Coturnix japonica: one gene and its partner. The protein of the gene in region 2 interacts with the protein of the main gene of each other region in a pairwise test. Links are inferred from orthologs where the notes say so. Each region holds a gene or a part of one and is shown on either strand. Other genes may lie near its edges.

Region 1 (4,372 bases), about 61 Mb from region 2:
ATACTGCCATCAGGAACGTGACAAGCTTTAATAGCTACATTACAACATTTCTCATCACTTCTAGGTACAGAATAGCTTCCAAAACTCAGGACACCTCAACTAATGAAGGAGACTACTGTCAGTGAAGAAGCATGTAATTCACATGACTATACAAGATTTCCTTAAGGAGAGATGAGTCTATCTGAAGCTGAGTCTATCGGAAGTAATCTCAGCCAATGTAAGGATTGCTTCCAGAAGCCCAGAGCATTAACAAGTTACATTCATTTTCCAAAAGTGTCACATCAAACTCAAATTGTTCCAAAGAGAAACATAAAGCACCCAACCAGCAAATTTGTAGGAGGAAACGCATGACACCGCCTCATTAAAAAAAAATAAGATGAGCACCAAAAGAAGAGGAATCATTAGGCAAAGCAGGAATGCATGAAAACCTAAGTTTTATATGTGTGTATATGTATATGCATTCACAAAAATACATCAGCACATAGATGGCAAATACAAATCCAGTTTAATTACTACCTACAATGAAACGAATCTTTTTACTGAAGAAAGTCTCACATTTCTCTTGAAATATTACAAATGACAAATAGTATTTGAATTCCAGAGAAAATTCAAGATATCACAGGCATTTTGAAGTGTCAGAAAAAGACCCATTTTTTCAGAAAGTTTATCCAGACCTGTCAAAAGAAGAAAATTCAAAAAGCACTTTTTATATGTAGCAGGTCCACAGATGTCACGATTAAGGCATTCATTGCACAGAAAGCTTTTTTGCTGGTATAAGATGTTCTTTGTTGTCTTCTATTTTAACTACCAAAACCATTCACAAATCCATCTGTACCCAATTACTTCTTCAAAAATTAATAACTAAAAGGAGAAATCGAGGCAGCTACAAGGTAACATTTGATTTGCAGTGCTTTCTACCAAGGCCATTCAGAAAGCCATGTGTACCCAACAGCACTAGAGAATACTAAACCAAACAACTTTACGGACAGAAGAACTGAAACACTGAGGTTACACCTTAAAGCAACTGACTTCACCTAGTCATGATCATAACTTCAACAAAGCATAAGGAGAAGTTAAAAATTATTACTTGCATATAACTACAGGTTAGAGGGTCAAAAACTTCATGTGAAAAGGCTATTTCTCAGGTCTTTCATTATTTCACCACATGAATTCCCTTTCACCTCAGCTTATCACATTCAAGGTCATTTTCCATCAGTACAACATTCTACAGATTCTTTAAGCATGGTCTCAGGCTGCGTTGGCCAGAAATCTGTTAAGCCTGATGCACATTATCAGGAGTGCTGTTTTACGTAATGTGCTGCTGCTGTCAGGCGCTATAGTTCAGCACTACTCTATATGTACGCGGCAGTATTATCATGTCCACAGCTTCGCTTTCCCTATTAAGTATTCAGATAACAGCATATCATGAGCTAAGCCTAACACAGAGACCTGCAGTAAGCCTGTCTGTGACAGCACAAGTATTTCAAAAGCATTTTCCAGTAAGAGGACAAACAATAAAAACTTATACATTGATCTGACACATTCTCTTTCATCCAAGTATTTTCTGGTTTGTCTTCAGGTGTTACACAACATCACAGTAGGAACCAAATAATACCAAGAGGAAAAGAAAAGTTGACAATTTTCATGCCAGTGTTGCATAACACCCTTATCCCTCCCTGTATAACACCACAGTTTCCAAGAACTATAAACAAAAATAATAATTATTATTATAACAGAATGTACGTTTATTACTTTCCAGCTTCTGATTGGAGAGGAAAAAAAATAAAACCACAAGAAAATTGAGATCTAAGCTCCATAATGCTGCAAATGGCACATGAAGTGCTTTGCACAGGCTGTGCAATTTGCTTTCCTATCCTTTTAAAATACATTTTGTTGCTACACATCTGTCATTAACACTTCTTACATTGGACTGCATTAAAAAGGGGAAAACAAGGGTTACCATGCTATTTCAGCATCTCATTCTCTAACAGACACCTCAGCAATTTTTCCTAGAACTGTGACTGGGTTTGGATACTGCACCGTCTGAATACACCCATCTCCAAAACTTACTAGGACTGCAGTTACAAACAGCACTTGGGAGACGGTCCAGAAGGTGAACAAAGCATTGCACGAAGTAAAATAATCCAGAAAAGCAAGAAGCGCAGCCCCCCAGACAAATGAGCTAAACTCAGAGAAGAAACGCTCTAGCGCCTTTACGTGCTTTGGACTGAGGATGCTCACACCAAGAAAGAAGAGCTGTGTTAGTCCGTGCTCAGCGCGATGAACGCCTATAAGTTAGTGGGCACCTCGCTGGGGTGGGGAGGCGATTCGCTCAGCGCTGCTATTGCAGAAGGAGCGCGGTCGCAGCCCCGTAAGGCAGGAGCGCAGCCTGGTGAGTATCCGCAGTACGCGAGCACAGCGGCGGGTGGGAGCCGCGCTCAGATACTCGCGGGGGCGGCGGGGGCGCCCAGCACGCGCCTCCCCCTCCCGCGTGCCCCCGCACCGCCGCCTCCGCACCGTCCCCCTCTCATCCCAGCCCGGTTAAGCGGAGCCAGCTGTTACTCGCCCCCCACCACGTTCGCGGGCCCGGGGCACTTGCTCAGCAAAGCCCCGGCAGGGTTCCCCCCGCTGCTCCCTCGCCTCCCCGCCCGTTCACGCGACGTCCCCCATCAGTCCTCCTCAAAGCATCGCCCCCAGCCGCCTTCACCCCATGAGCCCCCGCCCCGAGCTCGGCGCGGCACTTACAGTTCGCAGGAACTGGATCTCGTCCTCGCCTTCGCCCCCCTCGGCCATAGCTCCCCCTCTCTCTCCTCCTCCCGGACGCTGCTCACAACCGCACCGCTCTGCGGCTGGGAGCGAACGGGCTGCGGGTGCCCGCGCGCCTGCCGCAGGTGGACAGCTCTGCCCGCCGCCGCGCCGCCAGTGCCTGCTACGGGCGGAGGGGGATGCGATTAACCGCGGGAAGGGGGGAGGAGCTCCCGACCCCCCCCGGCTGCTGCAGGTGATCCGCAGCCCGCTCCCTCCTTGCGCCGAGCCCGCCGCGCAGCGCCCCTTGCTGGCTGCTCCGCGGAGCTACGAATGCACGGCGCGGATTAGCCGGGCGTCGGCCTCTGAAACGTGCGAGAGTGGTTAAAGCAGGGTCAGTGACAGGCTGTACGACTGTCGTTGTTTTTACCTTCACACTGTTTGGAGGCATTGCGAAAAAGTAATACTTAATTTCTGTCAAGATCGTGGCAGCTGTGGATAAACAGTTCTTCTGATAGATGAGCAACTGCAAGTGCAGCCATAACCCACAAGGCCGACAGAACAGAGTCAGAGGTTCTACAGATGAGCTCCAGGGTTGACAGCTTAATCAGTCCCTTTATAATTTTCTGTTTTCATTGACTTCGAGAGATTTTTACCTCTCAAACTTGTTCCTGATGGAAAATACTTTTTTTCTAAGTATGAAAAAAATAGTGAAGAAACTACATTTCATATTGTTACAATACACAAACCTCTTAAGTATCCCTTCCTCCACATGATGAAGGATGTGAAATGTTGAAAGATATTTCTTGAAACAGACTCCTGCTAGGAGAAAAGTCTGGAGTCTGAATTTGAAGGTGCACTGAACAAATAACACCTCGATTGCACTTTATCCCAGAATAAGTCAGTTTCAGACAACAATTTGCAAACATTTCTTTTCTTATGAATGTAAAGGTCAATTCACTTCATTTTATGGGATGTGGTTCTCTATTCAGTAATAGGAGAATATTTTCCATATCGGTCTGTAGATGAGTGGTGAATGAGATGCCTGCTTTATTTACTGCATGTAAGGCAAGGACACGCAGTAAAAGGAAGAAAAGAAAAGAAAAAGCTATAAATAGTTCCCTGTGACATCATTGGCTGAAACAGTTTGTACAGTTTTCAGTACAACATTATGACATAATGAAATTTGTTCTTGGAACTGGTGATACCTGGTTGCCTACAGACATAGAGCTCATAATCGGGCTGCTTGTTGTTTAGTGAGATGCAAACTCCTCCTGAAAATTCTCATGCTATCAAATTTGTTGGACCTTCCCAGTTAGTTGAAGGATATCATGTGATAGCAAAGACCACATGTGGCTACGTAATTTGCATAAGAAACAAAGCAAAAAGTAGTAAAGATTAGTTTAATGGCTTTCTGAACAGGGTGAAAAAGATCAAATATAGTTGGAAGGAGATCTTCTTCCACTATTCATCAAGAACTATTATTTACATGTGCACATATGATACACGTACAATTATTAAATATAGAGTATGCACAAAATACAAAATCAGTGCATGCACAAAAAGGCCAAAACTAGATTTTTTAGCCATGGACTTTCTCTGTGTTACCTTAACCACAACAATCAGC
Region 2 (4,454 bases):
ATGCAGCACCTTGTTCTCTTTCCACACTCATTGTCTGCACTCCCTCTGAAGTTACCCAGCACACTGTGGCTGCCATAGACCACTGCCACCACCGCTATGCACTGCCACCTCTGCAAAGTTTGCCTCTTTCACCTCTGACACTCACATGTCTAAATCCAACTGGAGGTGGGAGGTGACAGTTTTCTTGCAGGAAAACTTCTGAATTTGGGGCTGGAATAGAAATGTATCTTTCAGCACCTTCACAAAAACAGCTTCAAAACACCCATTTTCAGATCCAAGGTGCAAGGAAATGTCTGCAAGAGCTGAAGCTGGCATGGGAGATCCATGTGTTTAACTTCCACACTGTTCTAACTCCTATTAGAAACCCTAGATAAAAATACTCTGAACATATAAATGTATACAAGAGCAAACCCCAACCCCTCATATCCTAAGCCAGTGTGCTAACAGTGCTCCCTCTGAGGAGAAAGATTATTCAAACCATGTTAAAAAGCTTCTTGGAAATACAAATGTATATATTTATATATATAAATGCATATAACTTCATTAACTGTATCTAGTGAAAATGGTGATGTTTTACATTCTAAGGAGAAAACCTCCTGAAATGGCAGCTCTTGATGCAAACGTCACAACCGAGGACTCAGGCTGCAGAAGTCTCTGCATTCTTATGACAATTTACATAACTAAATACACAAGACAACATTGCAAACTGACTTAAAGGACATTTTCCCTCCGTGCAAAGGTACAGCACAACCAGCTCCACCAGCAAACTCACTGCTTGAGATTCATGCATACCCACAAAGCAGGTGTTAACCAGACCTTGAATGGATCTCTTCAAACTGGAATGAATTCTACCAGCAGCACGCAGATTCTTTTAAGATATAAACAATCATGAATTGTCTGTATCAAGGTCAGAGGCTGGAAAAATACGAACCTGGCATTTGCACTGCTTCATGCTCGATTTCATTTGCTCATGGAATGACTTAAAGAATCAGGTGTGCAGATTCATCTGCCAACTTGTCCCCACTAAACACCACTCTTGACAAATTCACTGGCGCGCGCATCTCGATACTGCAGCCTGAACTACAAGTCAAACATTCAGGAAATCCATCACAACACAATTAAATCGATTGTGAACGGCAGCACAAAGCAACAGCCACAACTGAACTGATACAACACTGTTGGGCATAATGCAGCTGGCATGGACACAACAACCAGAACATGCCTTACCTGTGTAGTGCACCACACACGTCTGCCCCTTCTTCGGGAACGTCCGCCCTGTTAAAAGGATAACGGGTTATTGTATATTTTCTCTTTTCCTTCAGTTAACAATGTTAATGTTCTAGTATTGAGCAATGGTAGAACAGAGAGATCATGAATCCTTATGAGAGCCTGGCAGCTCCCCCTAAAACGTTCACCCCGAAATGAAGGCTTAGCTTATTTCCTCAATGAAAGATGGAATTACTGTTTTCATATTACCTGCTCCAGGCACTGCAGGCTGGGGGAAGATCTGCTGGGCTCATAGAGGTGTTGGCTGCACACTGGCTCAGCTAACCTTGATCTCTAAAGCAGTGCTGGCCAGGGGAGGGTCAGCAAGGGGAGACTCAAGAACTTAGGAAGTATGAATGATACAAATGATTAATGAACAGCATTGTCATAAGGGCAGGAAATAGGGATTCAGATAGAAACTAAGGTTTGTTTGTATCTTGGATCTCTGGCCTCCTTAGTCTGACTTAACAGGAGAGCAAGTTATGCAAAATCGTGTGTAAATCATCGGCTAACAATACAAGCTGTGCATTCAGGACTCGTATGCCCAAAGCACCAAACAAGCTGCGGGAGAACAGGCTACCACAAACAGAGATCTGTGTCATGCAATGGAGAAGATGGTGCTTCCGAGCATCACTGGAACACCCTGAGCATCAGCCTGTGTGTGGCTGCAGCCCCTCCAGCTGTGGGTGCAACAGTCAAGCAAGAGAAATGATCGATATCTCCTTATTTGGGATAGCTGATGGCTTCCAAAGATCTAAGAGCTCACACGCAGTGCTGCACTGGGAGCCCAGGTACCCACACGGTGTTCTGAGCCCACATCTGAGCGCCCATCCAGGGGCACAGCGAGATGCCCGCGGACAAGAGCACGGAGAGAGAGGGCAGTTTAAAGGTACACACGGAGGAAGCAGAGAGAACGGGCCGAGAAAGTTACACAGGGACGGACTTCGGCGAATTGCGTTGAGCTGAGGGTGAATGTGGGCTGGAGGCGGATGGGGATGGTGGGATCTTGGGGGCTGCGGGCTCGTAGAAATCATGGCAACAAAAAGCAGAGCCATGAAACGACACAGCAGCCTGACCGCGAGGCTCCGCAGGGCGATGCCGCTCCCAGCCGGGTACCGGAGGAGGGATGGATGCTGCCCCAAATGGCCGCCCGCCCCCGGGGGAGCCGGCAGAGCGCCGGGCAAAGTTTGCGGCGGGGCGGTGCCGGCCTCACGATCCCCATTGACTGCCAGCTCCCGGCGTCGTGCAGCTGTCGGCGGATACCACAGCAAAATCCCCGGCCCCCGCGCCGCCCCCTCCGCTCTCCTCCCGGGACCCGGCGCTCCGGGTACGGCCGCTCCCCGCTGTCGGAGCTCCGTCCGACGGCAGCACCCCGCAGCCGGGCACCGCCACCCCCCCACCCCGCAGGGCTGCCCTGCCGCCCGTTCCCCGCTGCGGCTCGTACCGTCTCCCGGAGAGATGGTCTCGATCTCCACCCCCATCTCGGCGCTGGGCTCCGATCGGCAGCCCTGGGCACGGCTCGGCTCGGCGCTGCCGGACCCCCAGTGCAGGCACGCCCCTCCGCGGCCGGCTGACAGGGGCCTCCCCGGCTGCCCGTCAGCAGCCCGCAGCCAATGCAGGGCAGGGGCGGGGAGGCAGGGGAGGGGAGGGGGGCCGCCAGCCTCCGCCCGCAGCTCCCCGGGGACGCGGGGCTGCTGTGCAGTGCAATGCAGTGCGGTGGTACGCTATGCTATGCAATACAATGCAATGCAATGCTATGCTATGCTATGCCATGCTATGCTAGGCCGCCAGCAGCGCGGCCCCCTCAGCTCGGGGAGGGCAGCGGCACCCCCGCCCTCAGGTACCGCCCTCAGCTTTAAAGATGAAGATGTGTGTATGTATTCCGTAGCTGCTCCCGTGATGTGAGATCGCCAGTTCATTTGCCTGTGCGAGAACTGCAGCTGGTGCTGGTAGAATCATTAAGGTGGGAAGGACCACCAAGGTCAGCTTAGTCCGGCTGTGCCTGGGGCTGCCCTCACTGCCACATCTCTGTTGTTCTTGAACACCTCCAGGGATGGCGATCCACCACCTCCCTGGGCAGCCCACTCCAATATCAAACCAGCTTGAGTAGAAATGTTCCCTAATATCCAACCTGAACCTCCTGTGGGCACAAATTGTTGTCACAGATATCAAACAGCAGACAGTGCTGTTGTTTCTCACCTTACGGTACTCACACAGTGCTATAGAGGCCCTTGAAGATACTGGTGTTAACAATTGCACAGCAGATGAAGAGCTCGGAAGAGAAGGCTGAAGCAATGAATGCCACATATCTTCAGGAAAGCCTCTGAAATACAAGAGAAAATGGCTTAGTATTGGCAGAGGATTGGAGGAGAGGCAAAAAGAACAACAGGGCCAACATGGAAAGTGTTTGAATGACCAAGAGAACGGCTAAAACCAAGTTATAGGGGATTAATGTTTTAAAGAATGCTCTTTCAAAGCTATTGCATTACATCCACCTCCTCCTCTGCTCAGAGGTCTGTGTCTCAAGCATAAAGCCCTCTAGCCTCAGCTTTCAAGGCTCTCAGTGCTTGACATACTGGTTTCTAGAGCAATGAATTTGATAGTATGTGCTTAGAAATGGAGGCAAATATCCCTCGCCACCAGGACCTAAGGGAGAGAAGAGGTCAATACAATTTACCGCTTCCAAAAAACGTTGGTTTAAGATTAATGTCTTGAGCTGAACTCACTCTCTCCCAAGCTTCTGTCTCCCCAATGCAAGACCCTGACATGGCAGACCCAGTTCAGTAACGGGCCACCAACATGTAATAGGTGGAGGGGACGAGGATCTGGGGCTGTTCTGCATAAGACAAAGCTAAGGGAGGGCTTCTGCTGCTGTCTGCAGCTCCCTCATGTGGGTGGAAGCGCACAGCAAGAGGTAATGGACACGAATCACAAGGGAATTTCCAACACCAGGGAAGTCTTCACATTGTGAGTTACCATACAAAGCTTTGGGGAACCTGACCAAACCTTGGAACTAGCTGTTGCACCGTATGGCCTCCAAAGATCCCTTCCCTTCAACTGCTGTATGAGCCCGTAATGCTCTTCCTATAGAATGAGGAAGAAGAGCAGTGGTAGTGAGATGAACTGCACGGCGTTAATCTTAGTCTGAAGAAATGCAATTACAACTCACAGCTCTGGAACAGACCGAC

The links.
Region 1: the proteins of FKBP1B (region 2) and RYR2 interact in binary tests that used the Homo sapiens proteins (3 or more experiments, as listed by UniProt). The link is inferred for Coturnix japonica from reciprocal best matches to the Homo sapiens genes FKBP1B and RYR2.

Annotation. Positions count from the first base shown.
Region 1 is NC_029518.1:33,724,292-33,728,663, forward strand, and holds the start of RYR2 (ryanodine receptor 2), read right to left. Parts: upstream 2,930-4,372; 5' UTR 2,794-2,929; coding exon 2,746-2,793; intron 1-2,745. UniProt on the Homo sapiens protein: Cytosolic calcium-activated calcium channel that mediates the release of Ca(2+) from the sarcoplasmic reticulum into the cytosol and thereby plays a key role in triggering cardiac muscle contraction. Aberrant channel activation can lead to cardiac arrhythmia.
Region 2 is NC_029518.1:95,085,873-95,090,326, reverse strand, and holds the start of FKBP1B (peptidyl-prolyl cis-trans isomerase FKBP1B), read right to left. Parts: upstream 2,875-4,454; 5' UTR 2,748-2,874; coding exon 2,711-2,747; intron 1,276-2,710; coding exon 1,228-1,275; intron 1-1,227. UniProt on the Homo sapiens protein: Has the potential to contribute to the immunosuppressive and toxic effects of FK506 and rapamycin. PPIases accelerate the folding of proteins. It catalyzes the cis-trans isomerization of proline imidic peptide bonds in oligopeptides.